Ovis aries: one gene and its partners. The protein of the gene in region 1 interacts with the protein of each later gene in a pairwise test. Links are inferred from orthologs where the notes say so. Each region holds a gene or a part of one and is shown in the gene's direction. Other genes may lie near its edges.

Region 1 (4,027 bases):
CATATAATATAAGAATTTGGTAGTTCCTAAATTCTCTAAGAAATACCCTAAGTATATTATTTTTTAAGAAAAATTAAGCCCTTACAATATATTTGGGGAAGTCATCACCTACTATAAATGATATTAAGCACACTTGAAAAATGTTTTTATTTGTAGTAAAAAGCTCTTTAAATGGATGAAAAGGTCTTAATATTTCTTAGGCCCTTTCTGGAAGGAACATTTTTTTCTAATTTTATACGGATTCCAGTGTAAGTCAATTTTGCTTGACTTGAATTTGCCCACATTAAAAATAAACACGTTTCAGTAGTTGTTAAGAATATACTAACTTTAATTTTATACCTAGAAGTGATACAAACAGTTATTAACTATTAATAAATGTTGATAACTGATTATATACATTCTTTTAAAACATACAAACACTGATGTTAATTTGTTTGGCTTAATAACATGGTTACAGCTCTTTTTTTTTTTACTATAATAGATAGATCAGCTATTGATTCATCAGCAAATGGAACTTCTGGAAGGTATGTATTCATTGTATTTATCATATTTCTAGGAAGAGAGGACATTTATGCAGATAAAAGCGTATCATGAAACACAGATATAACACCTTCAGGGATGTTGAAATTAAACCTGGCTTTAAAAATGTCTCTGTGATAATGATAATCCTGATAAGGATTATCAGCAGCTCAGTTTTTGAAATTAATAGTCAAGTGCTAAAATACCATTAAGCTGGACATCTGTCCTCATGATACAGACCATGACTTGGGAGGAAACCAATCAAAACTTACTTTTGTTCAGTCTTCTCTCTAGAAATCACTTCAGTGATTCTATCACTAACCCACCCTAACCTCTATCTCTTCAACTTTTTTTTCCCCAGTTTGTGATGAGCTTGAGATTGTCAAAGAGTCACAAGCAGTAGTTCAGTTACCTTACTACATTTCCAAAGTAAATGAACTCTGAATTTGGGTGGATGGGGATGTTTTGGAAAACCTCATTATTGTCCATGGTTTTTCTTGGGAGTTCAGATGAACCCTATAAAACCTTTGTTCCACGGGCTATGAATTATCACCTTGGGCACAGGGCCACTTCACTGAAGGAGGCTGACCAGTCAGCCAAAACACCTGACTTCCTAGAATATCACTGCTGTTCCTATCAGTGGGGCCTGACTCCTACAGTTGTTTCCTTTGGTCCAGGGCTCCTCAGGTGCAAAGTAAACTTAAGAAAGCCAGTAGATGTTTTAGGACTGCTGCCAGGGAAAGAGAACCTGGGTAAATTCATGAACCAATGTATTTTCCTTATAGACAATTCAGTGAAAACTCTAATAGATTTTAGAATATATCTATTAAATCTTTCTTCACATCTCTGCAAAGTTCTTTACCACTGATAGGAATAATAAAGTGAATTGTACTACTATAGTAATATGGTTAATATTTGGTTAGAATATATAATTGCTTATTCTACTTAAATTACTTGTGATGTTCACTGTTAGAAATTTAATGTCCTCTTTTTTGGGGTGGGAGGGGGGCACAGTCCTGCTGCCCAGCTTGTGTGATCTCAGTTCCCTGACCAGGGATTGAACCCACCCACTCGGCAGTTAGAGCATGAAGTCCTAACAACTAGAGCACCAGGGAATTCTCTGTGGGGAGTTTTATTTATTTATTTATTTATTTATTGTCTGGTCACGCCTCTCAGCAAGGGGGATCTAAGTTACCCAACCAGGGATCAAACCCACACCCTTTGAATTGGAAGTGTAGTCTTAACCACTGGACCACCAGGGAGTCTCATCATGTTCTCATTTTTATTAGTTTGTTTATACTATATTTTCTCTGGAAAGGAGTATGGTAATTTGAATTTCCAGTTTTTTTTAATGATTCATTTTAGAGTTTATTTTTGATATTATAAAAACCAAAAAATCAGACACTGTACATTATATAGCACTCCATTTATAGTTTTCAGATTTATAAGTTTTGCATATATTAAAAAAATATATATGTATTAGTCATGAAATACAAAGTAAATTTCAAATTTAATAATTATAAATTCTTCAGTTTTTACAAAGGATATCTAATTTTCTTATTTTTGTCTTAAATTGCAAGTTTATATTTTAACATTATAAATAGTATAGAGAAAAGATTACTCAGTTTATTTTTTAGCACCTGAGACGTGTCCCAGTTCAAAACTTAAGAGATAATAAAGACAAAACCATAGAATTCTTTTATTTGTTTTCATTTTTTAAGTAACTAGAAAGAAACAGATTGTGTAAGCTCACTTATCTCACTTTACAGATAAACAAGCTGAAGAATTTTGAGATTAGTTTACTTAAGAAGCACTTAGGTAATAGATCCCATTTCATGATTACTTTAACTTTTTTTACATAAAATATTTGACAGGTGGATATTGAGGTAAAGGGTGGCTCTTTTAAAGGCAGAGTCAGGGTCTGCCTAAGTCATAGCAAAGACACCTAAGGGAGGTCATGGTGATGAAACTTGTGAAGAACATTTTTATCTAAATCCATCCACACCAATATTAAAGACTGATTTTTGTCCCTCTGTTTTTTCATTGCTCAATATTTTGATGACTTCTAATACCCTATGACTCGTGTTAATGAGGGCTGTGGACAAGAATGTGCGTGTGTGCTCAGTTGCTCAGTTGTGTGCCACTCTTTGCAACCCCAGGGATGGGAAGAGTGGGATTCCTCTGTCTATGGGATTTTCCCAGCAAGCATACTGCAGTAGGGTGCCATTTCCTGCTCTAGGTGATCTTCCTGACCCAGGGATTGAACCCCCATCTCTTGCCTCTCCTGCATTGGTAGGCACTTTACCTCTGTGCCGCCTGTGTGGCACAGAGACACAAGAAGCCCTTGTGTCTCATATAGAAATTCCAAATTTCTCTGTACGCTAATACCCTCTCCTCCATCCCCTCCACTTTTTTTCTATATTTAGATCATTTCTAAACACCTTTCCTTTTCTTCCTCCTGTGTTAAATGAAGTACCATCTAAAAATGGTACAGCTAGACACTATAGCATCTTAGGATAGACTGATTATTCTTTTAATGCTGTAGACATAATGAGTCCCTCTTTTTATATTTTTAGTCCTAATAGGTTTTGAAACTAATAACAGATATGAAATTAAGAACAGCCTTGGACAGAGGATTTACTTTGCAGCAGAGGATACTGATTGTTGCACTCGAAATTGCTGTGGGCCTGCTAGGCCTTTTACCATGAAGATTCTTGATAATATGGGTCGAGAAGTCATAACTCTGGAAAGACCACTACGGTGTGCCAGCTGCTGTTTTCCCTGCTGCCTGCAAGAGGTGGGTGAGCGATTAACACGGTAATTTTTACAAATACTTTGCAAAGTAGTTCTGTAGGAATTTTTACCTTATCAGTGAATTTATATAATAAAATGAGATTTAAAGGTGAAGTGGTTCACCAGCTATTAGTTTATCCTTGAGAGTAAATTGTAGGAAGGCAGGCAGGTGGAAAGGAGTGATCAGTTTGGCCAACATTCCTGAGCAGTGTGTCCTCTGGGGTGAGATCAGAGATCTCAGAGACCAGACTTCTTGGTCTTCAGGGAGAGCTGAGAATGTAGGGTGCCTGGTTCAAGGACCTTACCTGAAATGACCATGAGCGCTTGACCAAAGCCAGATGAGGGCCCCATAGGGAATATCCTCAAATGCCATCCCAGTAGCAAGTGGACAGAAGAGTGAGAAAAAGAATACATATGTTCATCTCATAATTTTAGCCAACCTACAGGGAGCTAAGGAGGGCTTCCCAGGTAACACTAGCCGTAAAGAACCCTCCTGCCAATGGAGGTAGATGTAAGTGACATAGGTTTGGTCCCTGAATTCGGAAGATACCCTGAAGGGAGAGCATAGCAACCCACACCAGTATTCTTGCCTGGAGAATCCCGTGGAGAGAGGAACCTGGTGGGCTGCAGTCCACAGAGTCACAAAGAGTCTGACACAACTGAAACGACTTAGCACAGGTGGCTTAGTGGTAAAGAATCTGCCTACCAGTGGAAG
Region 2 (3,649 bases), on another chromosome or scaffold:
TGGCATCCCTGACTCGATGGACGTGAATCTGAGTGAACTCCAGGAGTTGGTGATGGACAGGGGAGGCCTGGCGGGCTGCGATTCATGCGGTTGCAAAGAGTCAGACACGACTGAGCGATTGAATTGAACTGAACCGAACTGAGGGCTCCTCTTGACATTACACCTTCTACAGATTTGGATAAACCTAGACTTCCCAGATGGCCCCAGTGGTAAAGAGTCCACCTGCCAACAGAGGACGCAGGAGACACAGGTTCTGTCCCCTCAGTTGGGAAGATACTCTGGAGGAGAGCATAGCAACCTACTCCAGTATTCTTGCCTGGAGAACTCCATGGACAGAGGAGACTGGCAGGCTATGGTCCATGGGGTCGGAAAGAGTCTGACAGGACTGAAGGGAATCATTCAGGGTAGGCTTTTGTCTATTTAAACCGAAGCCCATATTCTTAACTATAATGTTACAGAGGCTCCCAAGGTACCATGCTGCCTCGTTAACAAAAGGGCAAAAGGAAAAACAATTGGCACAGTAGCATTCTTACAAACAAACTCACGGTAAACATCCTGGTAATGTTTAATCAAAGCGCATTTACACGATATACGACAATTAGTACAGTGCTTGACCATACAGATTCCCTGTTCTTTTCGTCACAGTCCTGTTTAAGGTGTTTGGGCACTGCAGTTACCTCACTAAGAATCTGGGCTCTGAGGTCAAACATGTTTAAACACTAGCCCTTAAGTTCACTGACTTCACAAGCTCGGGTAAATTAACGTCTTAGCTGCCTAACCTACGAAAAGTGGTAACAATGCCTACCTCACAGAGCAGGTGTGAGGCTCGTGTGCCACGAGCCCGCCTGCACAGAAAGCACACACAATAAACGTTTGCCATCTTGTTTTATGCATGATGAAACAGAGCTCCAGGAGTTAGAGCAGTGGCCACAAAGTAAGGCGTGGTGCCCTGTTTCCGACTCCGGGGGCTTTCTCTTTATCCCTTCCATCACCCCAAAGGCGTAGGATATTGTTTTTCAACAGACAAGTTTCTCCCCAATCCCCAACTCTGGGTTCAGCTGAAGGTCCGTCTTCTCTAACCCAGCACCTCAAGGTGGTCGAAGGGGGCAAAGAAATGGCCTCAGGCGGTTCCTAACGTGGGCTGCACAAACCCAGCCTCCGCCCTCCCTCCCGCAAAAACTACGTCACAAGCCCCCTGCGAATGTTCACTGGGCACCTGTTCCGGCCGGAACCCCACCTCCACGCCCTGGGAGAACGACCTCAACCCCAATTGGCTGTCTCCCGGGGCAACCAAGGATGCGGTGGGCACGCGGGGCCCCTGGCCGGTATTTAAAGGCTGCTGCGGCCCACGCCACCCCAGTCCGGCCCGGACGGCGACGGTGAAGCACCTGGGTTGAGAGGGAGCAGGAAGGTAACGGCGCGACCCCTGCCTCCCCCCGGCCCCAGCCCGCGCATCCACTGAGGCGGGTGTGAGTGGGACCCAGGAGCGGGTGTCACCGCGCGTTGCCCACCAACACCTTCCTCACCCACCATCCTTACCCAGCCCCACTCCCACCCAACCCGCCTGGGCGAGACAACTCGGGTGCGAAGGATCAGAGATTAGGCGGAGAGCGACTGAGCGAACAGAGAGGCGGGGATCCTTCTGGAGACAAAGGCGAGATCCCAGCGGCGGGCACGTGGTGCTGGGCAGAGAGAGAAACGAGGCGCTTGAGACCATCAGATCTGTCCAAACGCGACGACAGCTTCTAGGGCGCTACCGTGTCGACCTCTCGGAGCACCCTGAACCATGACCCAGACCCTCGACACAAAAGAGGATCCTCTTAACCTGGGCGGCGGCTGGGCATCCTCTGCCCCGTTACGCACCTGGTCGTCCGGCCCCCGAAGGCGCAGGGGCGCTCCCATTTACAGGCGGCGGCCTCGCTACGGCCCCAAGGCCGAATACGAGCCCCCGAGGAACCAGCCGAAGCAGCAGTACGGTCCAGGCCCTTGGTTCCAACCACCCCGGCGTCCCTACTGGGCCGTGTATTCTAGCTGGGGGCGCTGGAGAGGGCCCTGGTGCCCACCGCCGGCGGGATTCAGGAAGCCCCCGGGCCGGGTGCAGGTGATCCGGGTGTGCGGCCTGCACCCGCTCTGCATTTGCTGCTGCTCTTGCTGCCACGGGCCCTGGAACCCCGGCTGGGCGAGGCCCCCGGGCAGAAAGAAGCGCTGGGGTCGCCGGGGCCGCGGCCTGCGCCGTCACCCTCGCCGCTCCGCCCGGAGGAGCCCTCCGGTGGATCTGAGCACGCTGCTGCGGCCGGTCAACCTGTACGGGTGGCGCGCCCCCGGCATGCGGGCGCCGCGCAACACCACGCAGTTCATCATGAACCAGATCTACGAGGACATGCGGCAGCAGGAGAAGCTAGAGCGCCAGCAGGAGGCGCTGCGGGCGCAGCAGGCCCAGGCGGGGGGCACAGCCTCCCCGGAGGGCGCCTTCGGAAACGACGCGCCCCCTAGCGGTGGCCAGGAAGACGGGGCGCTGCAAGATACTCTGTACAGCTTTGTGGAGAATCCCTCTCTCGTCTTCAGTCCTGACCCAGACGAAGAAAAGCAGCCGGCCACCTCACAGCTGATGGAGGAAGAGGAAGGGGAGAGAGAAGAGGGGGAGGAGTGGTGTGACGAGGAGGAGTGTGATGGCAAGGAGTTGGAGAGCCAGGAGGAGGACGAAGAGTCAGAGGCCAAAGATGAGGAGGAGGGCGAAGAGGCTGATTATATGGAGGAGGGGGAGGAGGAAGACGAGGAGAATGAAGCGGAGGAGACCGCAGAGGAAGAAGAGGGGCTGGTGGAGGATGAGCAGATGGAGGAAGAGAATCATTTGCCCCTGGAAATGCCTTTATCATTCCTAGTGGGGGCTGAAGAAGAGAGAGAGAACTTTATGAACTGTACGTGTTTAAGCCCCAAACAGAGAATTCCCAAAGTGGCACAGGAAGCGCTCTTCATGGTGCAGGACATTAACTGTTGAGACATCAGGAAAGGGATTGAGAAATGCGATGGAACTGATTGGAGGCTAAAATGAATTAGCCACTTGTCAAAAACTAATGAAAAAGTGAGTTCCATTAATAAACCTATCATCTTTGGCTGTTATAAAACGTTTAAAAATTGGTGTGTGTGTGTGTGTATGACTATGGGTGGGGGGAGGTAGAGCTTTCAAATATAATTTAACTGGAAATGATTAAAGGCCAAAAATTTTATTACTACAGTTTGAATATTTTCATTTGGTGTTTTCTCCTCTAGATATTTGAGGTTTTTTGTTTTTTAATTCTGGCAATGCTGAAAATGTTTCCTTTTATAACAACTTTATACATCATCTCTACTTAATGAGCTTGGAATGAACAGTTATTTTGACTGTTAGATGCCTAAGAAGCATGTGCCATGTTTATTAAATGTTCGTCAGTACTTTTAACATGATAGCTGAAACCATTTAAAAATGCCTATTTTAATATTTTTTTTCTTATAGATTTTCCACCTTCAGAGTTCATTTTTGAGGGCTGTATTTTGGTAACCCAGTTTGCAGTCTCTTGTGGCATCGCTCATTTATATTCCTTGTTCCACAGTGCTATGGATCTTCCTCAGAAGAACATGAAGTTGCTTCTGTGGAACTGGTTATCTGCCA
Region 3 (4,600 bases), on another chromosome or scaffold:
CCAGGTCCTCTGTCCATGGAATTCCCCAGAGTATTGGAGTGGGTTGCCATGGGGACCTTCCCAATCCAGGGATCGAACCTGGGTCTCCTGCATTGCAGGCAGATTCTTTACCAACTGAGCTACTAGGGAAACCCCATTTAAAGGGTAGAAAGAAGTAAATCTAATTTTAATAATATATTTCACACAACCCAGTATATTTCGACATGCAATCACTGTAAAGGTTATTCACTGGATACCCTGCATGAACTTCTTTTGATAATGAGTCTCTGAAACTCGGTAAGTCCACTTCGCCCCCCCCTCTCCCCCCGGCCCCAAGTAGAGAACATGGTTCATAGCACCTACGACGTGCCGGGCTCTCATTCAGGCTCTGGGATGGAGACACAGCTCCCGCCCTTGATGCGAGACCACAGACGCTTCTAACACGGTGAGGTGTGCCCGCAGTCCAAGGCGCGCAGGAGCCCTGAACACCTGAGGGCGGCTCCGCGGGGCCTGTCCTCCAACCCGGTACAGAGCCAGATGAGCCCAGGAGGAGCCCCACGTGTCTGGGTGGAAGCAATGGCGGTAGTGAACCTAGGATCCAGGAGGAGGGGCGCTTTGGAGACAAGGCCGGGGCTGGTCCGGGGGGAACCTTAAAGAGACCACCCCCGCCCCACCCCCGGCCCTCCCCCAGCCATGGGCACCGGAGGCAGGGGAGGGCGCTCTGCGGGAGGTTTCCCTGGCGATGGAGGGTGCCGGGACCATGGACAAGGTCACGCAGGCTGGAGAGGAGTGCAGTGGTGGAAAGGTGGGAGGAGACACTGCCTGGAGCGTCAGCATCAGGAGGTGCCGAGGGGATCCGGGGGAGGCCTGAGGTTAGAGGGGCGCGGGGCGCGGAGCCGGGCCTGATCTCACAGTGGGTGATGGTGGGCCATGTGCTGACGTGGCTTCGGGTTCTTCAGGGCCGAATTCGAAACTCCTTGTCAGCGTTGAGGTTCGGGGAGGGCGCAACCTCCCTTCCCCTGATCTCCCATTCTTCCATCCCTACCTTTTGGATTAAAATTTCAGCTTGTTAAATACACGCTTCCCTGGTGGCTCAGATGGTAGAGAGTCTGCCTGCAGTGTGGGAGACCCAGGTAGGGAAGATACCCTGGAGAAGGAAATGGCAACCCACTCCAGTATTCTTGCCATGGAGAATCCCATGGACAGAGGAACCTGGCGGGCTGCAGTCCATTGGATCGCAGAGTCGGACACGACTGAGCGCCTTCACTCACTCAAATACACACTCACGTCTCACACACACACACAAACACACGCGTACACCCTTCTCCCAGCTGCTTTAGGAGCTTCTAGGATCGCAGGAAGCCCTGACTTCAGGAGCTCAGGAGGTCAGGATTCCTGAGAGTCCAGAGCCCGGGCGGCCAGGGTCCTAATTGGCCGGCCGGACGCAGCAGCCCCAGGATGTTCAACCGGCTCTGGGCTGGCACTCGGCCCTGGGGGGCGGGGCGGGGTAGGGGGCGGCGCCGCCGGGACGGCCGGGGGCGGGGCTTCCTGCGCCACCGCCCGCGCTCCGCCCCCATCGGCCGCCCGCGCTCGATTGCTCTTGTCTGGCGGCGGCAGCATGGCGGCGGGGGCGGCTGAGGCAGCGGCGGCGGTGGTGGAGGTCGGCTCAGCTGGGCAGTTTGAGGAACTGCTGCGCCTCAGAGCCAAGTAAGCGAGGCGGCGGGCGGCAGGGGCGAGGGGACGCGGCGGGAGCCGGCCTCACGGGCGCACTGCCTGGCTCCCTCGCGCGCGGCCCAGCCTGGGCGGCCCGGCCCCCGAGCCCGGGTCCCCGCCCCGGTGCGGGAGCGGGTCCACCGCAGACCCGGGGCTCGAGGCTCCGGGCGCCCCGCGGCGCCAGGCCCGCGGTCCCGGGGAGCGGGGACGCGGGGACCCAGCACCGGGCCGAGGGTGGGCGCGGAGACCCCGGCCCCTCGCCGCGTCGTCCCGGGCGGACGCTGCAGGGAGGCCGAGCGGGGCCGGCAGTTGGCGTCTGAGGGCGCTCGTGGCCGGGCCGAGCGCGCCGTGGGTTCTGGTTTGGCCCGCCTGCCTGTCGCCCCGGGGGCAGGCGTCGGAAGGAGACCCGCGGGCTGCGGTGGGCCCGTTTGGCGGGTACCCGGAAACGCCGTCCCCCGCCCCCCAGCCTGCGGGTCGGCGCCGGCGGGCGCGCGGGGCCTCCGGGCGGTCTCTCCGCCTCGGCTAAGTCGAGCCCTCGCCCGGGCACCCGCCCCGCGCTCAGCCGCCTGCCAGCGCTGGGCCTCCCCTGCGCTCGCGCCCTGCCCAGGCCTCCGTGTCCCCTGCGGTGAGAGGGGTCAGGGCCGTGGGCGGCGCGTGGCCGGCGGGCGGGAGCGCTCTCGGAGGCTCCGGGGGCAGAGAGCCTGCGCGGAGCTCAGGGCGGTGGGGCGTGTGGACCTGAATGCGGCCCCGAGTTTGAGTTGGAGGCAGCTGGGGAGCTCCTTGGGAGCGTGGCAGGGGGCGAGGGCGGGGGAGTGGGGGTGCGGGTGAGAGGGGAGAGTCCCTGTCTTCCTCGCCGCGGTGCCGAGAAGTGTTCATCAGAACAGCTCCTTCGGCGTTTCAGGTTCACTTGGAAAATTGGTGAAAGAGGTGGTCCCCGGGAGGCGGGTGCGTGGGGAATGACGTTGACTCATTGATGAAAAGGGATGCGGCCCGGAGGCGGCCTTTGGAAGGAGCCGGGCTTGTGTGGATCTGTCCTTAATAAACGCTCAGTTTACCCATCTTAAGTAAACAGCGCCTGACGTCATGAGGACAGAAACCCGAAGCAAACAGAACCGTGGTCACCCTCTCCCGATGAGGATGAAGACTATTTTGCTGTTGGTGTGTTTGGCGTTTTTGAGTCTATGTTTCATTTTTTTTTAAACGTTAAAGTCCTTAAGACGTCACAGTCGGTTAAAATTTCAGTGTTAATACCGTTTGGATGCGTTCTTGCCACTGGCCTGTAGGTGAAATGACCCAGGTACAGAGCAGTGGCAAGAACGCATCCAAAAGGTATTAACACTGAAATGATTCCTTTAGATGGGCACGTGGGAAATGGTGCTTGGCATCTGGGGAAGGAACAGATCTCTGCTCCTTTTGGTGGAAATGGCAGCATTTCAGAACATGAAGTAGTACTTGTTAATGCCATTTAGCGTCTGTTTGACAGATCATCGCTTCTCAATTTTAAAATTTCATGTGAATTGAAAATGTTTTTTGCCTAAGTCATCACATGTTTATATGTTACTGAAACCCGTTAGTCTGTACAGTGGGAATATTAATACCCATTTGCAGAGTAATTAAGGTTTTGCCCATTTGTAAAATGTTTAACTAATATAGTCTAATACTACACGATTTTAATACGTGGTAGTCAGTGTTATCTGCACAGGAATAACTTCAGGAGCAGAACATCTGAAGGAACAGAGACAGCAATTTACTGGCCACTAACTGTTTTACTGACAAAGAACCGAGGTTCATCATATTGTTTAAAAGCACAGGAGTTAGGATTTGAGAAGGCAGTGGCACGCCACTCCAGTACTCTTGCCTGAAAACTCCCATGAAGGGAGGAGCCTGGTGGGCTGCGGTCCATGGGGTCGCTAAGAGTCCACAGGACTGAGTGACTTCCCTTTCACTTTTCACTTTCATGCATTGGAGAAGGAAATGGCAACCCACTCCAGTGTTCTTGCCTGGAGAATGCCAGGGACGGGGGATTCTGCCGTCTATGGAGTCGCACAGAGTCGGACACGACTGAAGCGACTTAGCAGCAGCACTTAGGATTTGAACCTCATCTTCTGTGAAGGTTTTTCCTTTAACAGTGCACCCTGTGCCTTGAGCTGTCCATGACAATGGAGAGAGCAGTGGGCCATCCGGAGCGGGTGGCAGCGTCTGTGTGTGTTTCAGGCTTATATCCTCGTGATCTTGGGTGTTCACTTAATTGGAAAGTAGAAGCTAAGCATCTAAAAATGAGAAAAATGTGGATAATTTAAAAGAACATTAATGCCATTCTTTAACGTTTTTAAGGGGCTTACATATTTTTGTTTGGTCTTCCCAACCTCTCAGGGTATTATTGCTGTTTCACAGATGTGGAAGTTAAATTACTCTTCAAAGCCACATTAGTAATGATGGAATTTAACCTGTATATGTGTACTTTTTCTTTTTCCTTACGTTGACACTTACTGTTAAAAAGTTTTGTAACCTATTTTAATTTTTAAAAAATGTACTCTTTGTATTTTCCCACGTTATTAAATGTTCTTTGAGATATGACTTTTAATGACTTTATAATATTTTATGACTGTTAAGAAAACTATGTTGTTGAATAATAGATTTTTACAGTTATTTGCTGTGTAAAATACTGGGGAAGTAGTCATATACATACATCTTTGTCTCTTTAATGATTGCTGTAGGATGGATCCTTGAAAGTGGTACAAGAAATTTCTGAAAGTTTCCAACTGAACTTTTACCAGTGGGATATAAAAGTGTTGTCTCACTTTATCCTTTTAATCATTGAATATTTTGATTTTAAAAATCATTTTTCATTTTGGTAAGAAGTGGTAAAGTAGTCCAGCTGCACGGGTGAGGAGAAGAGGAAGCAGTA
Region 4 (4,027 bases), on another chromosome or scaffold:
TAGGGCCCTGATATCTTCTGACCTTCAAACCCCACCTCCCCCATCTTCCCTTCCCAGGCACATATATCCCCCAGAAGGAGGTGGAAGTCATCGAGATCATTCAGGCCACGGTCATCAAGCAGAACCAGGCCCTGAGGCTGAGGGCTCGCAAGGAATGCTTAGACAGGGATGGCAAGGAGCGGGTGACAGGTGGAGTCTTGAAGTGTTCACAGGGCTAAGGGCGGGCTGATCCTTGACTGCGGGGGTAAGTGGGGGAGGTTGGGGGCTGGCCACCTGTAGCCTGGAGGAAGTGCTTCCCTGGTATCTCTTGTCAGCTGTTGGGGGCTGCCACATGCTACTTCCCCCACTAACCTGGCCCGGATCCTGTTGACATGGCTTTCCCTTCCTCCGACTCTGTCGTGAGCTGGGTCTGTCTCTAGACCAACAAAGCAGGTGTTTATATTGTTGCTGTGCCTGTGCGTGCTCAGTCCTGACTCTTTGCGACCCCACGGACTGTAGCCCGACAGGCACCTCAGTCCGTGGGATTGTTCCAGGCAAGAATACTGGAGTGGGTTGCCATTTCCTCCTCCAGGGGATCTGCCCGACCCAGGGATTGAACCCAGGTCTCCAGCACTGCAGGCAGATTCTTTACCTCTTGAGCCATTGAGACTTCCTGTGTCTATATGCAACTAGCAATTGTTTGACAGACCTGTTGTGTTAAACAAAGTCTTAACAAAGGCTATGCTTACTGAGCCAGGTGTGGTTCAAATGTTTTACAGACCGCAATTCCCTTAGGTCTTCCTGCAACCCTGAGGCACCACAGCTCCCGTTTTCCAGATGATGAAACTGAGGCCTGGGTTTATGGCCAGAAAGAGCCAGGCTGGAACTTGTGCCTAGCACTCTTGCTTCTCCAGTAGGCTGAACGACCTCTAAGCTGTAATGTGGCAGTTCTGCCCATTTTGTGTTTGTCGCCCAGTTGTGCCCGACTCTTTGTAACCCCTTGGACTGTAGCCTGCCAGGCTCCTCTGTCCATGGAATACTCTAGGCAAGAACACTGGAGTAGGTAGCCATTCCCTTCTCCTGGGGACCTTCCTGATCCAGGGATGGAACCTGGGTCTCCTGAATTGCAGGTGGATTCTTTACTCTCTGAGCCACCAGGGAAGCCCTTCTGCCCGTTTTAGGGGAAGAAAAAAAGGCTGATCTCTGGAGCTTAGAGAAGGCCTACAGGGTACTCCCATAGCAACAATTTGGATGCTTGGAAGGCCCTTTTTTTTTTTTTTAATCTCTCTGAGGTAGGGGTTGCTTTTCCTCTGGCCTCAAAAAAGGAAAAGGACTCTGTCAGGCCCTTGAGCCTGGGAGCAATGACCTCAAAGTGGCGTGTGAAGCCCTGCAGGTACTCTTTATCTAGGCTGCGGGAAGGGGCAGCTGGGGAGCAGGCTGGGTGACTTTTGACCTTTGCCTCTCCTCCCCGGCCCAGGAGAGGAATGGCTGGTCCGCTCCGTGGGTGCGTATCTCCCAGCAGTGTTTGAGGAGGTTCTGGATGTGGTGGATGCTGTGATCCTTACGGAAAAGGTCTGTATTCTGGGGGACCCTGGGTGGGAGATTCTCGGAGGGGCAAAGAACTGTGGGAGAAAATAAGATCACCTGAGGAGTATCCTGGGTCACTGGAAAGGGTTTAAGAAATCCTCCTGGGTTGGTAGACAGTGACTCAGACCTGGAGCATTTGGTGACCAGTGGGGTTCCCAGATCCCCCAAGGAAGTTAGTCGGAGTTAGGTTTACTGAAACCCCCCTACCCCTTGACATCTTGCTCTCCAGACAGCCCTGCACCTTCGAGCTCGGCAGAACTTCCGAGACGTGAGAGGGGTGAGCCGCCGCACTGGGGAGGAGTGGCTGGTGACTGTGCAGGACACGGAGGCCCACGTGCCAGATGTCTACGAGGAGGTGATGGGGGTTGTGTCCGTCACCACCTTGGGCCCCCACAACTACTGTGTGATTCTCGACCCAGTCGGACCAGACGGCAAGAACCAGCTGGGGCAAAAGCTTGTGTTCAAGGTAAGTGCCTGCCCCTCACCCAGAGGGGAATGGCCTGAGGCCCTGGACCCTTGTCCCTTCCCTCCTCCCACCCCAGGTAGACATTCTAGAAACATCAAGCTGGTTTCGGCTCCCTCTGTGCACACTTGTCTCTCTCTTGAGAATACAGTGTCACTGATCTTCCTGGCAATCCCTGACCTCAGGTTACCCACAGTCTTTCCTGGGAGCGCCTCCCTGACCCTGGTGAACGCAGACCCAGAAACTCTCTCTCATATTTCACGTCTCTCTCTTCTGGAAGCTTTGTCATCCTGCGTCAGACAAATCTCTTGGTTTACCCTTCTCCCCATCCTCTGCCTCAGCCCTTCTCTGAACTATGTGGGACTACCAGAGCTGGGCTGGCCTCTCCTATGACAGTCACAGATATTTGGGGCTTTGTGAGGGGCATGGTCTCTGTTGTGCTCAGTTTTGCTGTTGTGCCATGAAAGCAGTGTAGATTGTCTTTTTTTTATCAGAGGATAGTTGCTTTACAATATTGTGTGGCGTAGACATCTTGTAAGTGAACCAGTGCTGCTGTGTTCCTGTAACATTTTATTTGCAAAAACAGGCAGAAAGAATAGAAACAATTCAAATATCCATCAGTTGATGCATAACTGAAAAATATGGTATATCCATTCAGTGGCATGTCAATCAAAAGGATAAGATAATCTTTCTGGGGTGGCGGACATTCGTGTTCTTGAGAGAATTCAAAAAGGTAAAAATCAAAACTGAGGTTCTAATATGTCCTACAACATGGATAAACTTGAAAGCATTATACTAGGCAACAGAAGCCAGGCATAAAAAGACCACTTATTGTATGATTTCCATTTATATGAAATGTCCCAAGTAGGTAGACCCACGTATAGTGGTTGGGGTGGGGATAGGCAGTAACTACTACTGGATCCAGGGTTTCTTTTCAGGATGATAATGTTCCGGGATCAGGGAGTCGTGTTGTTGGGCAACTCTGGATATACCAACGCAACTGAATTGTATACTTTAAATATCTGTATTTTATAATATGGGCTTCCCAGGTGGCACTAGTGGTAAAGAATCCACCTGTCAGTGCAGGAGATGTAGGAGAAATGGGTTCAGTCCCTGGGCTGGGAAGATCCCGTGGAGAAGGGCATGGCAACCCACTCCAATATTCTTGCCTAGAGAATTCCATGGACAAAGGAGCCTGGCAGGCTACAGTCCATACAGTTGCAGAGTCAGCCATGACTGAAGAGACTTAGCACATGGGCATATGTTTTATAATATGTGGGTTTTATCTCAAATATATATTTATATTGTATTAAAAAATAGCAGGCCAGATTTGGTCCAAAGGTCAGAGATCGGAAACTCTGTACTATACCACCCTAAGGGAATAAAGTGTGAGAGAAATAAGGCAATAATAGGTTAATTCTTAACTATTGAGCTTGTGAGAACCCAGACCTTGACACTTCACAGAATCTTTCCAGGGCAGGTTTGACCACATCTACAGGCATTTGTGAAGAGTCTCAGTCTAAATAAATGATTTTCTGTATGAAGGGGAGGTGGGTAGGAACTTGGGCAGGGGGCTGCTGGGGCTTCTGTCCTCAGCAGAAGCCCATGATCACCCAGGGCTGAGGGAGGAACCATCAGAGGGCTCCACAGTCCTGGGAGGTGACGGCTCCTGACTCCACTTCTCCCTACCAGGGAGAGCAGTCTTTCTTCCTCCAGCCCGGGGAGAAGCTGGAACGAGGCATCCAGAATGTATACGTGCTGTCGGAGCAGCAGGGGCTGCTGCTGAGGGCCCTGCAGCCCCTGGAGGAGGGGGAGGGCAAGGAGAAGGTCTCCCACCAGGCTGGGGACCGCTGGCTCATCCGTGGACCCCTGGAGTATGTGCCGCCCGCCAAGGTGGAGGTGGTGGAAGAGCGTCAGGCCATCCCACTGGATGAGAACGAGGGCATCTATGTGCAGGATGTCAAGACCGGAAGGGTAACTGTGGAGGGGTGGGCGCTG
Region 5 (4,726 bases), on another chromosome or scaffold:
GGGACAGAGGAGCCTGTTGGGCTGCCATCTATGGGGTCGCACAGAGTTGGACATGACTGACGTGACTTAGCAGCAGCAGCAGCAGCATGCACATCTTTTAACTGCATCTGGATTTTGAGTCATAGTTAAGGTTTCCCCTACACCCGTATTATAAAGGGATTTATCTGTGTTCTCTTCTAGCACCTGTGCAGCCCCTTCCTCCTCCCCCATTCCTGTCTTACCCTCTCTCCCTTCCTCCTCCCTCTCCTTTCTTTCCAATTCTGTCTTAACATTTGGAGTTTATTCTGGCGGACATGTCTTTTTCCAATGATTATTCTGTGTTCAATGTTTTTGTAGCGATTTGAGACATCACCTTTATCATATGACAAATTTCCAAAAACTTTTGACTTTTAAATTTGCTGTTTGGGGATTTTCTATTCTGTTGCATAGCAGTGTGTTTCTCTCCAGTCAGGAAAGAAACTACACAATAAGTTCAACAGGAGAAGTCTACTATAAGAATTCCCAACTGTGATGGGAGATTAAGTGTAAGATGTAAGAAACTCTATAAAGCACCCAAGAGCCGAGGTAGAGTACCCAAGGAAGGACAAACCGGCGGGGTGGGGGTGTTCAGACCTCCTTGGAAAAGATAGTTTGGCCACTAAAATGTCCACTGGTTTTCCCAGACAAAAGTGGTCTGGAGTTGCAGGTGGGGAGCAGGCAGTCAGCATTTGGTGGTGTGGGCATGCCCTGGAAATCCAGTTGCCTGCCAGAGCGGAAGGCCTTCAGAGCATGCAGGTGCTGGTGATGAAGCTTGCACAAGGGACAAATTCTCTAACTCCTCAGGCCGTAGTCTGAATAGGTCATTGCAGAAAGGTTCTTGCCATGCCAGGGCTGCATGTTTGCAGTGGGATCTCGTTCTGGTCGCACAGGCTCCACTGGCTGTTCTCACCCACCATGTCAGCCTCTGCCCCTGCCAGAAATCACAGCGGCCTCTTCCTCCTGCAGTCCCTGCAGCGCCCTCTACTGAGAAAGCTTAGCACTGGGCTCAGTTTAAATGCTTAAAGGAATTCTATTTCCATAGAACATACACTACATATATTGAAGAGTGCATTAGAAGGTGAGAGGCAATAAATTGATCCTTGACAGGTGCATTGGCCTATGTATTCCTTTTTTTTATCATTGGCTATTCATGATATATTTGAAGATCTGTTAATGCTAGTCATGCTTACTGATCTACCCTTTGAGGTAGGTTTTTAAAATTTTTCTGTAAGAATTTAAAAATGAATTTATCTACTTCTAGGGGGAAAAAAACTGGTTGGCATTTTTACTTAATCGTATATTTTTTAAGTTTGTTTGTTTTTTCTCCAGAGATTGAACCCAGGCCACAGCACTGAGAGCCCAAAGTCATAACCACTAGGCTAGCAGGGAACTCCCTGTGTTTTTTAATTTTTAAAAGTATTTTATATTAAATTCTCATGGTAGAAAATTCTTATAGTTAACAACAAAAGCTTTATGGAAGTGAATGAAGGGAGAGAATGAATTCCATGCCTTTTATTCCTACCCCTCTGAGGTTGTGTGTATATTTTTCAGGATGTATTTCTGGGTCCATATAAGTGTGTGTGTGTAATAAAAATGTGTCAACCTTTTTCACAGTATGCTTGTACCTGTAACTTAGAAATGTCTTTTCTTTTTTCTTTACAGCCATACCTGTCCATGACTCTGAGAACATTATAATGTTCTTTTGTGCTTCTCACAAGGGGTTTTCCTAGCTGTTACCTACTCAAGACATGGATGTCAAAAACTCACCATCTAGCCTTAACTCTCCTGTCTCCTATAACTGCGGTCAATCCATTCTACCCCTGGAGCCAGGCCCCATATATTTACCCTCTTCCTATGTAGAGAGCCGCCATGAATACTCAGCCGTGACATTCTATAGCCCTGCTGTGATGAATTACAGTATTCCCAATAACTCAGAAGATGGGCCTGGTCGACAGACCACAAGCCCAAATGTATTGTGGCCAACTCCTGGACACCTCTCTCCTTTAGCCATCCATTGCCAGTCGTCACTTCTGTATGCAGAACCTCAAAAGAGTCCTTGGTGTGAAACCAGATCATTAGAACACACCTTCCCTGTGAACAGGTAAATCCAGTCTTCATTCTGAATTATATTATGGCCGATATTCAGATTGCTTTATGACTTAGTGAGAAGAAAGATATGTGTTATACAAGGTCTTCATTATCACATAGAGCACCTAGAACATCTGATGTTCTGAATTCTAGGATATCTATTCTGATATTCTAGTCCTTACTAAAAAGTTGAGCTTTTAGATCTGTGTTGTGGGGGAGAATTCACTTCATGACTATCTTTGGAAAATATTTAATTTAAATCACTTTCTTCTTGATGAAGTGATTTGAGTTTGAAAAAGGAATTTTTATTTTCAAGTTAGAGCCTTCCTATCTTGAAGTGAAATCACAACTTAGTGTTCATGACAAATTATGTCCAAGATAAAAGTAACCATTGGTATTACAACTCGATGAAATGCTAGACAGGTGAAAAGACAAACAGTGGTACAAATTTTTAAACAGTGAACTAAATAACATTTTATAAAGATTGACAGGAAACTAATGTGGACTTTAGTTGAACATTCTGAAACTCTAAGTGCAAGGTAACATCAGGGATTATTTGCATTCAATTTGTTATACGTACACACACGTATATATTTTGTGCTATGTGGCTGTGGGATCTTACTTCCCCAACCAGGGATTGAACTCGGATAGTTTTAATGATAATCATGGCTACAGAGGGCAGAGTTAGTATAGGCAGAAGCATGAGGGGGCATAACTTTACACAAGAACCCAAGTACTAAGTTATGGCATATTTGGTATTGAAGTTTATTACTTTCAAATTCATAAAACTTTGAGAAAGCCATATTACACACTAATTTTATTTTTCTTCTTTTTTAAAGAACTTTTTGATTGGTAAAAGAGAATATGAAAAATGTAGATGACTTTTTAAAAGTAATGTCTTCACATTCAACTTTTAAAGGAAGAAATATCTTATTTCTGAGGACAAGTTCTAATCAGAGCTCTGCTAATATTTGGGTACATTAAACCTCAGCATATTAAATTTATACATCAATCATACCTCTGCCATGTCCTTTCCAAAGGAAACATGCTGTAGCAAAATTAGGAACTAGCCCGGTGTGTTCTTGGTGTCTGCCGGTGGCCCACTGTGGGTTCCCCCTTCCTCTGTGGTAAGCCTCTCCACCCTGCATTGAACACCTGCTTTCTTCAGAGCCTTCTCAAGGGACAGGCATGTGTTTATGCTCTCCCCCTCTCCTCTTCTCTTCTCCTTCGCTTTCCCCTTTTCGCTACTGCTCCCACCCAGACTTGATGTAGTCACTGATTACAGAGATGTACACATTGATGGCTATAGCTAGTTCTCCATGGTAATCGGTGTTCATCCACACTGTGTGGATGGGTGTAAACTCACCTATCCACTTTCAGACACCAGCGATCCCAACAGAGCGACTCTTAATAGATCTGATATCAGTAACAAAGGTTTTGCTTGATCAGATCTCTTGGAATATATTTGTTATGAAGCCTGGAGGGCAAAGAGATACACGAGGCAATGTTCATGCTGTTCCTTTTTCTAGAAAGGCCTTGTTTTACCGTCAATGTTCTTTTACAGTGAATGTTCTCTTTGCCCCTAGGGAGACATTGAAAAGGAAAGCTAGTGGGAGCAGTTGTGCCAGCCCTGTTTCTAGTCCGAGTTCAAAGAGGGATGCCCACTTCTGTGCTGTCTGCAGCGATTATGCGTCGGGATATCACTATGGAGTCTGGTCATGTGAAGGATGTAAGGCCTTTTTTAAAAGAAGCATTCAAGGTACAAGAATGTTGTTAGCTGCTTTTTTTGTTTTCCACTTTGCTTTTAAACAATGTTGCGGATGACCTGGCAGAAATTTTACCTTTGTTTGGCCTGCTTGGTACACAGAGTACTTGGTGACTGTTTCAGAGGATCATGTGTCTTTGGGGGTGGGGGGATTGTTTCAAGTATAGAGTACTTTATCTTTCACTCAGATCTCTACCCCCAAACCCAAATGGATCTTGCACCACCATCACCTGTTGCCGTCTTCCTAGGAGGAAACATAACCTTTGTGAAGGCTGGAAAAAATGTGTGCCCATTAGGAACTGTGAAGATTGTTTCTTCCTTTGACTTATGTTTAATATCTAGCATATGTAACAGTTGAGATGGTGGGCTGGCTCCTGAGGAAGAGAGAATATGTTTTATGCAGTCAGTAGCTCAACTAGTGGAACCTCCTTTACATTCCTATTTTCTGGTCTGAGTTTAGACTGTTTCCCTTTCCTTCTCCAAATTTCTGCTAGGCTGGCTTTTTGTTTCTGTGATTTTGTTAAATCATCTCTTTAATCAATTTCAAATTGTACGCACCTGGTTTCAAGGCCAGTCAGCCCCTTGCCACACGTTTCCTTGCCAGGCCTAATTGCTGCAGGCACTTTCTTGCTTTCCTGTGCTCTTAGCTGTCTCTCTACCCCCATAACTCCTCCCTTGTCAGCCCTCCTTCCAGGCAGTGTCCTGTGTTCCCATCTCAGAGCTCCCTTCCCTTTTCTGCCAAAGCCTTGTTCTTAACCGGTTAAGGAAAGCTACATTAAAGCAATTCATAGTGTGTAAGTGGCAAAGTGGCAAACAGCAATTTACTGAGTTAACTCACCCAGTGAAACTCTAGGT
Region 6 (4,703 bases), on another chromosome or scaffold:
CCAATCCCCTGCCCACGAAGCAAGGCTTTCTCTCCAGTGTTCTCCCTCCTCACATCCAGCGTGTCTTCTAAGCCCTGCTGGAATCCCCTCACTCTGGTACCCTAGCATGTCTCAGGACTCCAACTGAGCCAATGTCACAGGAGAGGAAGGGAAATCCCAGCGATAAGAGGGCTGCCTCATCTGCTCCCTTGTCAGGGGCATCCTTGGCATCAAAACCCACCGGCCACTCTCTTGCAGAAAAAAATAAAGAAAACGGCTCCGCCTGCAATGTCTTTCGCTCCATCTCTCCAACAGCAAACTCCTACTCATCCTTTGAAGCCCAGCTCAAAGCACCCCTCGCCCCCATCATTATGGAGCCTACCCTATCTAATGAGTAGCGCTTGGCCAGTTTTCTAGGCAGGTGGTCTGAGCTGGGGGAGGAGGGATCCTCCTCTCACTCACGGCCAAGTTCTCAGGGTGCTCCTAGCACACAACTCGTGCTTTGTATGTGTTCGTTGAAAAGAAAGACACTAGCTTTGTTCCAGGTCCCGCTCAAGGATTTGAATGAGCCCTGCCCTTTGCTGGACCTGGGCATCTGGCTGGGGAGATCGGGTTGAGTCCAAGAAGTCAGGCTGGTGTCAGCCTTGCGGCACTGCTATCCTCCTGCACCCTCACCATCACCCCCCTCCCCCCGGGGTACTTTAACAAGAGTAAGAGGCTTGCCCTTGGACAAACTGAACTGGGACCTGAATGCTGCAGAGCTCAATCTCTTTATCTATAAAATGGAGCTGTGCACCCTCAGACCCCGCCTACCTCTCCAGGAAACCGGAAGGACAGAATGGAAAGATAGGGACCGGAATGATTCTTCCGGGTCATGGACAGTTGGGCGGGGGTCCCGGGTGTGGGTGAGACTCAGCTTTGTGACTTTAGGAGATGTACCCAAATTCCTTGGGCCTCAGTTTCCCCTTCTGTAAAAACAAAGAGTGTTGGATGAGGGCTGATTAAAAGAGTCTTCGCAACCTCGACCGTTACTCGGCGGGGGGGGGGGCGGGCCTCTCGGCCTGGGCGCTACGTTCAGGGCCTCCCATCCACAGCCCACCGGTCTCGGCTCCCTCCCCCGCGGGCCGGGCCACGTGTCCGGGGTACTCACTGCGGAGCGCGCCCCCCGCCCCCCGAAGGCCGAGTGGGGCCCTCGGCTGGCAGTCGGTACCCTAGCTTCCCGCCGAGGCCCGAGCGCCTCGAGCCCATTCTGCTCGCCCTCCGGCGCGTGACCCCGGCCGACCGGTCGGCACGCCACCCCCTCCTCCGCCGCCCGCCGATTAGTCAGCAGTTGTTTAAGGCCCGGGTCCCTTCCCCCTAGTGTTCCCGCCGGCCCCCGTTTTCCTCCAAGGTAGTCTCTTCAGAGACGGTCCCTAGAACCAGCGGGCGTAACCATTCCCCAAACGACCCGGCGTCGACCAAAGAATCACTCCGGCTCGTCACCGAGATCCGCTCACCCGCCGCGCCCGCCCCCGCGGTGTTTTTCGGGCCGCTCATCACATCCGGGGCTCTTTAGAGAGAATTAGGACTAGAGAGGCGGGCGCGAAGGACGGGAAGCGGCGGCTCATTCCGCCGTCCCCCTCCCCCGTGGCGGGGGCCCGATGGTAGCGCCTGAGGTTGCGGGTCCCGCGCCTGCGCAGTGCGGCGTCTAGAGGACCAGCGAGAGGGAGACGGACGTTGAGAGAACGAGAAGGAAGGAGAGAAAATGGCGTCCACGGGTGAGTGTGGTGGGACTGCGGTCGCGCCGGCGACGGCAGGGACGCCCAGATTGGGGGCCGCTCGTCCTTGGGGATGGCAGGGACGACTGAGTGGGCTTTCCCGAGAAGGGTGTGAGGTACCCGCCGCGGTCCGAGAAGCTCGATGGCCGGCGTCTCCCTCCGCTCCTTCCCCTCCCCCCACCGGGCAGGCCGGCTCTGGAACCTTCCGGCGCCCCCGGCGCGCGGGGGGCTGGAGGCGGCGGGGGCGCGCGGGGCCTGCCTTGGCCTCCATTGTGTGGCGGCGGTCGGGCCCCGAGATCCGGGCCGCTCGCCACGTGGGCGGGGCCTGAGGCTTCGGGGCCCCGCGTGGGGTGGGGGGGAGAGTTCGGCCAGGCCTCGGGCCCGGCACCCCGAAACTGGAGGTGGGGCGGGCGGCGGCTCGAGGAGCGGCAGGCCCGCGTCTTTCTGACTGTCCTCACCACAACTCCATTTCCAGGCCCGCAGCCTGGGCCCAAGGCCGACGCTGCCTCTCCGGGAAGCCCGGGGTGAGGGGGGGAGAGCAAATAAACAAAAAAAGGCTTCGCGGACTTGTGAGCCGAGGGGCGCCGACCTGTGAGCCGGAGCCCCGTCGTCCTTAGAGCCGGGTCGGCTGGCACGTCGTCCAGGGCTGCCGAATTGCTCCCCTCGGCGGGTTCCAGCCCCCACGCCGAACTTCTGCCCGACTGGGCTTTAAACGGAGCGCCCCCGCCCCACGCTCCGCTTTACAACTACCCAGTCAGCTGCTGCTTAAAGTTGTTTTTTTAAACCATTATTAGTCCTTCTTTCCGCCACAAAAAGCAATTAGGCGGCTTCCCAGGGCCATTTTTCATCAAACGCGGAGGGAGGCCTGTTGTATAATGAGGCCAACCCTGTTCGCAAGGCCAGGAATCCACCACCGAAAGACATTTCTTGGCCTTTTTGATTTAGGAGAAACAAAAGGCCTCGGTCGGCGTTTGAATTATGCTTAAGTAATCGTCTCGTACGTTTATTCGCTTAGGTTAAGCCGAGAGAGGCTAGTTTATTTCGTGGTCTGACAGAAGAGAGCGGAAGGAGGCGCGGACTGGACTTTGAAAGAAAGCCTGGGGTGGGATCTGGAATTTGGTGTGTGGGGTGGTCCTTACCGCCCCGGGGTGTGTGAGAGAGTAGCCTAAACGGAGCTGCAGTTTGCAGTCCGTGCACTAACTGCGGTTGTGGATCGGGTGGGGAGATTTTTGCCTCTGGGGTTCTCCTTAGGCAGCCTGACTCCAGGCCTTGGAGGCAGTTAGAGGAGAGGGAAGATGGGAAAAGCTTTGGGTCCTTCCGAGTTTTAATCCGAAAAGGGTCCAGAATCAAGCAAGGGCAAGACAGCTTTGTGGTCTGTACACAAGCAGGTGGTAGATGCTGGCTGTTAGTGCCAGGGTACAGAGTGCCCCTGGAGGAAAGGACTCTGAAACAACCACAGTCCAAGACACCTTCCGGTGGGGAATGGTTTCCTCAGAGCCCTTTCCTCCTCCCTCTTCCCTGCAGTGTTAGGATTTTGCAAGGGGGAGTGCTGCTCTCCCTTCGCCGTGAAAGTTTGGGGAGTACACGTGTGTGTATTTAAGTGTGTGTGTGTGTGTGGACATGCCAGTTTTTCGTTCTCCTTCGCTCCAGCTCTGTGGCCTGGTGACCGCTGCGTACTGTATTAGAATTGCAGTTGTGGTTTATGTAGACATGCAGCAGGTCTGACGGGGGTCCTTTGAGGGACTCCTTAACTTATCTGGGCTTCAGTGTCCTGTCCTTCAAGATGACCGGCTTAGGCTAGACGTTTGAAGAGCTTTTTGAACCCTTAGTTTCTGATGTTACAGCTCTCACGGCGTTGTCCTGAAGTGACTTTCTTTAACTTATGATGTAGTCTGAAGCTCTAACTCTCAACAGTTCCAATCGTGACTGCCTGAAGTTTCTAAAAGCCACCACATTGGGCAATATTCTTAGCTTTTCTTCCTCCTTATTTGGCATATTTAGAAAAGTACCTAAAGTATATGTCCACTTTAGCAAAGAAACTTCCAAGTAACCACCGTGCAGACCAAGAAATAGAATATTGCTAGCACTCTGGGTTGGGAATATCCCCAAGAGGAGAACGTGGCAACCCACTGCAGTAATCTTGGCTGGAGAATCCCATGGACAGAGGAGCCTGGTGGGCTACAGTCCAAAGGGGCGCAGAGTCTAACACGACTGAAGCGACTTGGCAGAGCACTCTGGAGGCCCCCACCCATAGCCCCCTTTCTCCTCAACTTGTCCTGTGTTTTATTGTAGTCTTCAGCTACATGTTTGGGAGTTATAACAAAAAATAACTGCTAAATAATCTGACCAGTGTGTAACTATAGATTTTTGAGGCCATATAAAGGTTTTTACGCTGTAGGAAGATAAAAGTTCTCGTGAAGCACATTTACTACCTCCCCTAGCCCAACAGTGTGGGGCTAAATAAATCAGCTGGTTTCCCATTGATGTGAGATCATTCGTTGTTCCTCATCAGCTTTGCCAGTTGTATGTTTTACATAACTGTTGTTGTGTAAAAGTTCTCCTGCAAACATTGAACTTACATGTCAGTGATATGGAACCATTCCTCACACACAAGCCTCAGTACAATGTAGGTTGAAATATTTGATTTTTGGTGTTTCATTGGTATGTTTATTTTTTAACTAAAACGTGAAAGAGGTGATTTGAATTTTTATATGTCACATACAGAGCTGAGATTGTCTTGAACAAATCGATTTACTCATTATACATAGCCTTTGGTGGTTGATTTGATAATGTTGATGATTCAGGGTTCTGAGTTAAGGGTGTAGAGGAAGGAAAGTGGTCAAGTTATGTGTAGAGGTGAAAAATGAGCCAAGTTAAAGAGATGGATTCAGCAGAATGCTCTAGGGGCAGGCCAGGTGAACTGTGAATCAGGCTTCTGTTGGAGTGAGGTTAGAAACCCCCTCTGTG
Region 7 (4,027 bases), on another chromosome or scaffold:
AAGCAGTGGGGCTCAGGTGAGGTGGAGCCAGGCAGTGTGGCAGGCCCTCAGGTAAAGAGCTAGGCCACATGTCTGCCAGGGCTGAAGATGGTGAGATGCACCCTTTCGGAGCTCTGTCGGTCCCGGGCCTGGCTTACCTCCTGAGTTCCCAGCCTTCCTACTTGGCCCACAACCCAGTGCTCGAGATGCCTGGGCAGAGATAGGGCCGGCGAGGGGCCGGCCAGCCTCCTTCTTGGCTCCAGAAACCTTGGAGAGGAAGGTGGCTCTGGGGTGGGGCCCGTGGGCTTCCCGACCTTGGAGCAGAGGCACAGCCTCCCGGCTTCTGGGATTAACCGGGCAGGGCTGTGTCCTAGATCACCATCCCGCGGGGGAAGGACGGCTTTGGCTTCACCATCTGCTGTGACTCTCCGGTCCGAGTCCAGGCCGTGGATTCCGGTGAGTGAGCATCTTGGGTGATGGCAGCCCCATGCTTAGCAAACAAGATGTTGGAACTGAAAGGGAAACCCCAACCCGGATTGAAGAGTCCTGGCCTTTCAAAATGAAAAGAATAATATTTTTAAATGACCATAGATGAAAGTGAGGTCTATGAAAATACACCTACTCTTTTTTTGTTTTGTTTTTAATCAAAGTGAAGATAGGCTTTTATATTTTGTTTCCCAGTCATTTCAAACAGGAACTAAACCTATATTTTCAGCAATGGCTGCATGGGAAAATAAGAATCGTTTATGAACTTGATTTGGAATCAGTATTTTATCCTAGTCCAGCCTGATGAGCCCTTTAAAATAGTCATTTCCTCTCTACTTTTCACAAAGAAAAGACTTCTCCTAGTCACAGAGTGAGCATCCTAAGAGGAGAAGCTGGGACGTGGCGATCTGGGGGCCTGGCAGCAAGGAAGGGTTCTTGAAGGGTGAGAGTTCCTGGGGAGGGAGGGGGCCTGGTGGTGAGGTTGGCAGCAGAGAGATCAGCCAGTACTGGGTCTGCGGGCAGGGAGGAAAGGAAGGCAAAGGGGAACCTCCTTCAAGATCCTTCCTGAGCACCTCCAAGGTCAGGCCCTCATGCACAGATGAAGAAACAGAGGGGAGCGGTCCTTGTCCAAGGTCACTGTGGAGGCAAAGGACCCCCAGGCCCTCTGAGGGGGTTGTGGGCTCCAAGGAGTTTTATTTGTCCCTGCAGGGGGCCCAGCTGAGCAGGCAGGGCTGCAGCAGCTGGACACGGTACTGCGGCTGAACGAGAGGCCCGTGGAGCACTGGAAATGCGTGGAGCTGGCTCACGAGATCCGGTGACCGGCGCGGCGGGCGGCCTGGGGCTTGGGGCTGCCTCGCACCTCCCCTCCCCTCCCCAGCCCTGGGCACACGCCTGGCCTGTCCCTCCTTCACATCTGCGAGCCATTTGCTTTGCTCCTCAGGAAATCAGTTACTTGGCCTGAAACTGGAAGGTTCAGGCTCCGAGCAAATTTGAATCCCAGAGCAAACAGTGGGAGAAGAAGCTCTCAGACACACCCTGTGGTTCATGGCGTGGCTCCAGGGGGTCGCTTTCTCCTTGAGCTCATTAGTTCTGCTACCTCAGAGCTAAGCCTTCTGTTTTCTAGGCTGGGTAGATGTTGCAGAGTGTTTTCAGTTGTATAACTAAACAGTTATTCTTTAAAATGTATCCTGGTACATAGTGGTACATAGTGGTACATAGTGGTACATAGTGTTAGTGGGTCAGTCGTGTCTGACTCTGTGCGACCGCATGGACTGTAGCCTGCCAGTCCATGGGATTCTCCATGCAAGAATACTAGAATTCAGGCAACCCATTGCAGGCAGAGTCTTTACCTTCTGACACCAGGGAAGACTTAAAATGTATGAAGTGAAGTGAAGTGAAATGAAGTCGCTCAGTCGTGTCCGACTCTTTGCGACCCTGTAGACTGTAGCCCACCAGGCTCCTCTGTCCATGGGATTTTCCAGGGTTGCCATTTCCTTCTCCAGGGGATCTTCCCAACCCAGGGCTCGAACCCGGGTCTCCCGCATTGTAGACAGACGCTTTACCGTCTGAGCCACCAGGGAAGTCCCTAAATGTATGGGACCCCTCAATTTTGACCCTCTGAGTTACAGCCCCATTTTAGGTTTGCTTCTAGAATGACTGGGTGAGGGGTTTACACAGGTGGCTTGCTTGCTTGTACTTTGTGTTCAGGAGGAACCTCACTAGTTGAATCTGGTCTTCTTTCTTTATTACCAATGCCCTTCCCAGCCCTTGCCAGTCAACTCGAATTGACCTCAGGGACCCCTTTGCTGTCTCTGCTTTAGCTGGCCTCTGCATCCTTTCCTGTTCTAGCACCGGGGGCTGCCCCTGTCCCCTTCCACTCTCTTCCTTTCTGCCCCCGCAGGCCCCTACCCTGCCTGACTTTGGTCTCCCCCAGACCCAACTTCCAGAGAAGGAAATGGCAACACACTCCAGTATTTTTGCCTGGAGAATCCTGTGGGCAGAGGAGCCTGGTGGGCTGCTGTCAATGGGGTCGCACAGAGTTGGTCATGACTGAAGCGACTCAGCATGCACGCATGCATTGGAGAAGGAAATGGCAACCCACTCCAGTGTTCTTGCCTGGAGAATCCCAGGGATGGAGGAGCCTGGTGGGCTGCCATCTATGGGGTCGCACAGAGTTGGACACGACTGAAGCAACTTAGCAGCAGCAGCAGCAGACTCAACGTCTCTTTGTGATCCCCTCTCCCCGCCACTTCCAGGAGCTGCCCCAGCGAGATCGTCCTGCTTGTATGGCGCATGGTCCCCCAGGTCAAGCCAGGGCCAGATGGAGGGGTCCTGCGACGGGCCTCCTGCAAGTCGACCCTCGACCTCCTGTCACCCCCCAATAAGCGGGAGAAGAACTGTACCCACGGGGCCCAGGCCCGGCCGGAGCAGCGCCACAGCTGCCACCTGGTGTGTGACAGCTCGGATGGGCTGCTGCTCGGCGGCTGGGAGCGCTACACCGAGCTGACCAAGCGTGGGAGCCAGCACACCCTGCCCGCGCTGTCCCGCGCCACGGCCCCCACTGACCCCAACTACATCATCCTGGCCCCACTGAACCCTGGGAGCCAGGTATGGACCGCCATTCCGGGAAGGTGAAGGGCTGGGGTCCCTGAGTGAAGCCGGGAAGAGGCAAAGACTCAGCTGTGTTGGGAGGAGCCTCCCAGGGGCTCGGCATAGGGAGCAGGGATGTGGGGTAAGCGGTCACTCCAAAGGGCCGTCCTGTCAAGCTGTCCTGGGCAGAGGGAGCAGCTGGATCTTTGTGGTCTCAAGGTATAGATTCAGGACCAGGGGATGTCATGGGGTGGAAGATTTCACCTCAAAAGAAGGAAGCAGCGCCTTCTGCCAGACGGCGCTTTTCCATAGCAGAATGGGCCACGTGGTGGGCGGTGAGCGAGCGCCTGTCGAAGGAACTTCAAGATGGTGAGGTGGGGTGATGGTGTGTGTGTATCCCAAGACACGGTTCCCCTGAGATACTCTGGGTAAAATGTGTCCTGAGGTCAAGTAAGCTTGAGAAACACCTCCTGCTCTCTTCCTCTTGGAGCAGATTCCCAGTGCGTGTTCACCTGCTTGAGGCTCTGAGGGCACCTGCAGCGAAGAAGGTGGTTCACCCTTGTTCGCCCGAGTGGTTCCCAAACTCCCCTGATGGTGTCCCCCTTTGTAGCAGAGTTGTTAGGTCCCTAGGGCCAGTGTTCCACAGCACATGCTTTGGAACAAGTTGCCATCAAGGAAATGGGGATCCAGCCAAGGAGTTAAACTCGATGACAGCTAAAGCCTCACTATACTCCAACATTCTGGAGGATTCTAGAGCCTGTGTTCCCTACAAGCCCCCTCTTGGTTTCTTAGCAGGATGGCAGTCTTGCCCTCATGCCCTGAGGGGCTTCCCTGCTATCCCCAGGCCAGGGCTGAGCAGCCTGCCTGGTTGTCTGCCCCGTGGCTGGGCTGAGGGGTTTTCTGTCTTTCCTTTGCAGCTGCTGCGGCCTGTGTACCAGGAGGACGCCATCCCCGAAGGTGAGTCTGTCCTCTG

Evidence for each region.
Region 2: the proteins of phospholipid scramblase 2 (region 1) and CCER1 interact in a two-hybrid assay, tested with the Homo sapiens proteins (2 studies listed by BioGRID and IntAct). The two-hybrid records come from large-scale screens. The link is inferred for Ovis aries from reciprocal best matches to the Homo sapiens genes PLSCR1 and CCER1.
Region 3: the proteins of phospholipid scramblase 2 (region 1) and GLRX3 interact in binary tests that used the Homo sapiens proteins (3 or more experiments, as listed by UniProt). The two-hybrid records come from large-scale screens. The link is inferred for Ovis aries from reciprocal best matches to the Homo sapiens genes PLSCR1 and GLRX3.
Region 4: the proteins of phospholipid scramblase 2 (region 1) and MVP interact in a two-hybrid assay, tested with the Homo sapiens proteins (2 studies listed by BioGRID and IntAct). The link is inferred for Ovis aries from reciprocal best matches to the Homo sapiens genes PLSCR1 and MVP.
Region 5: the proteins of phospholipid scramblase 2 (region 1) and ESR2 interact in binary tests that used the Homo sapiens proteins (3 or more experiments, as listed by UniProt). The link is inferred for Ovis aries from reciprocal best matches to the Homo sapiens genes PLSCR1 and ESR2.
Region 6: the proteins of phospholipid scramblase 2 (region 1) and EWSR1 interact in binary tests that used the Homo sapiens proteins (3 or more experiments, as listed by UniProt). The two-hybrid records come from large-scale screens. The link is inferred for Ovis aries from reciprocal best matches to the Homo sapiens genes PLSCR1 and EWSR1.
Region 7: the proteins of phospholipid scramblase 2 (region 1) and RGS3 interact in binary tests that used the Homo sapiens proteins (3 or more experiments, as listed by UniProt). The two-hybrid records come from large-scale screens. The link is inferred for Ovis aries from reciprocal best matches to the Homo sapiens genes PLSCR1 and RGS3.

The regions. Positions count from the first base shown.
Region 1 is NC_056054.1:242,587,066-242,591,092, forward strand, and holds part of phospholipid scramblase 2, read left to right. Parts: intron 1-481; coding exon 482-524; intron 525-3,095; coding exon 3,096-3,316; intron 3,317-4,027. UniProt on the Homo sapiens protein: Catalyzes calcium-induced ATP-independent rapid bidirectional and non-specific movement of phospholipids (lipid scrambling or lipid flip-flop) between the inner and outer leaflet of the plasma membrane resulting in collapse of the phospholipid asymmetry which leads to phosphatidylserine externalization on the cell surface.
Region 2 is NC_056056.1:127,369,487-127,373,135, reverse strand, and holds CCER1 (coiled-coil domain-containing glutamate-rich protein 1), read left to right. Parts: upstream 1-1,786; coding exon 1,787-2,998; 3' UTR 2,999-3,062; downstream 3,063-3,649. UniProt on the Homo sapiens protein: Regulator of histone epigenetic modifications and chromatin compaction into the sperm head, required for histone-to-protamine (HTP) transition.
Region 3 is NC_056075.1:48,898,819-48,903,418, forward strand, and holds the start of GLRX3 (glutaredoxin-3), read left to right. Parts: upstream 1-1,581; 5' UTR 1,582-1,597; coding exon 1,598-1,686; exon of another isoform or gene 1,687-2,850; intron 2,851-4,600. UniProt on the Homo sapiens protein: Together with BOLA2, acts as a cytosolic iron-sulfur (Fe-S) cluster assembly factor that facilitates [2Fe-2S] cluster insertion into a subset of cytosolic proteins.
Region 4 is NC_056077.1:26,923,022-26,927,048, reverse strand, and holds part of MVP (major vault protein), read left to right. Parts: intron 1-57; coding exon 58-189; intron 190-1,456; coding exon 1,457-1,551; intron 1,552-1,795; coding exon 1,796-2,032; intron 2,033-3,721; coding exon 3,722-4,003; intron 4,004-4,027. UniProt on the Homo sapiens protein: Required for normal vault structure. Vaults are multi-subunit structures that may act as scaffolds for proteins involved in signal transduction. Vaults may also play a role in nucleo-cytoplasmic transport.
Region 5 is NC_056060.1:74,529,550-74,534,275, reverse strand, and holds the start of ESR2 (estrogen receptor beta), read left to right. Parts: upstream 1-1,766; coding exon 1,767-2,119; intron 2,120-3,692; coding exon 3,693-3,865; intron 3,866-4,726.
Region 6 is NC_056070.1:68,562,434-68,567,136, forward strand, and holds the start of EWSR1 (RNA-binding protein EWS), read left to right. Parts: upstream 1-1,668; 5' UTR 1,669-1,723; coding exon 1,724-1,736; intron 1,737-2,325; exon of another isoform or gene 2,326-2,420; intron 2,421-4,703. UniProt on the Homo sapiens protein: Binds to ssRNA containing the consensus sequence 5'-AGGUAA-3'. Might normally function as a transcriptional repressor. EWS-fusion-proteins (EFPS) may play a role in the tumorigenic process.
Region 7 is NC_056055.1:10,225,751-10,229,777, reverse strand, and holds part of RGS3 (regulator of G-protein signaling 3), read left to right. Parts: intron 1-353; coding exon 354-435; intron 436-1,173; coding exon 1,174-1,279; intron 1,280-2,720; coding exon 2,721-3,072; intron 3,073-3,971; coding exon 3,972-4,011; intron 4,012-4,027. UniProt on the Homo sapiens protein: Down-regulates signaling from heterotrimeric G-proteins by increasing the GTPase activity of the alpha subunits, thereby driving them into their inactive GDP-bound form.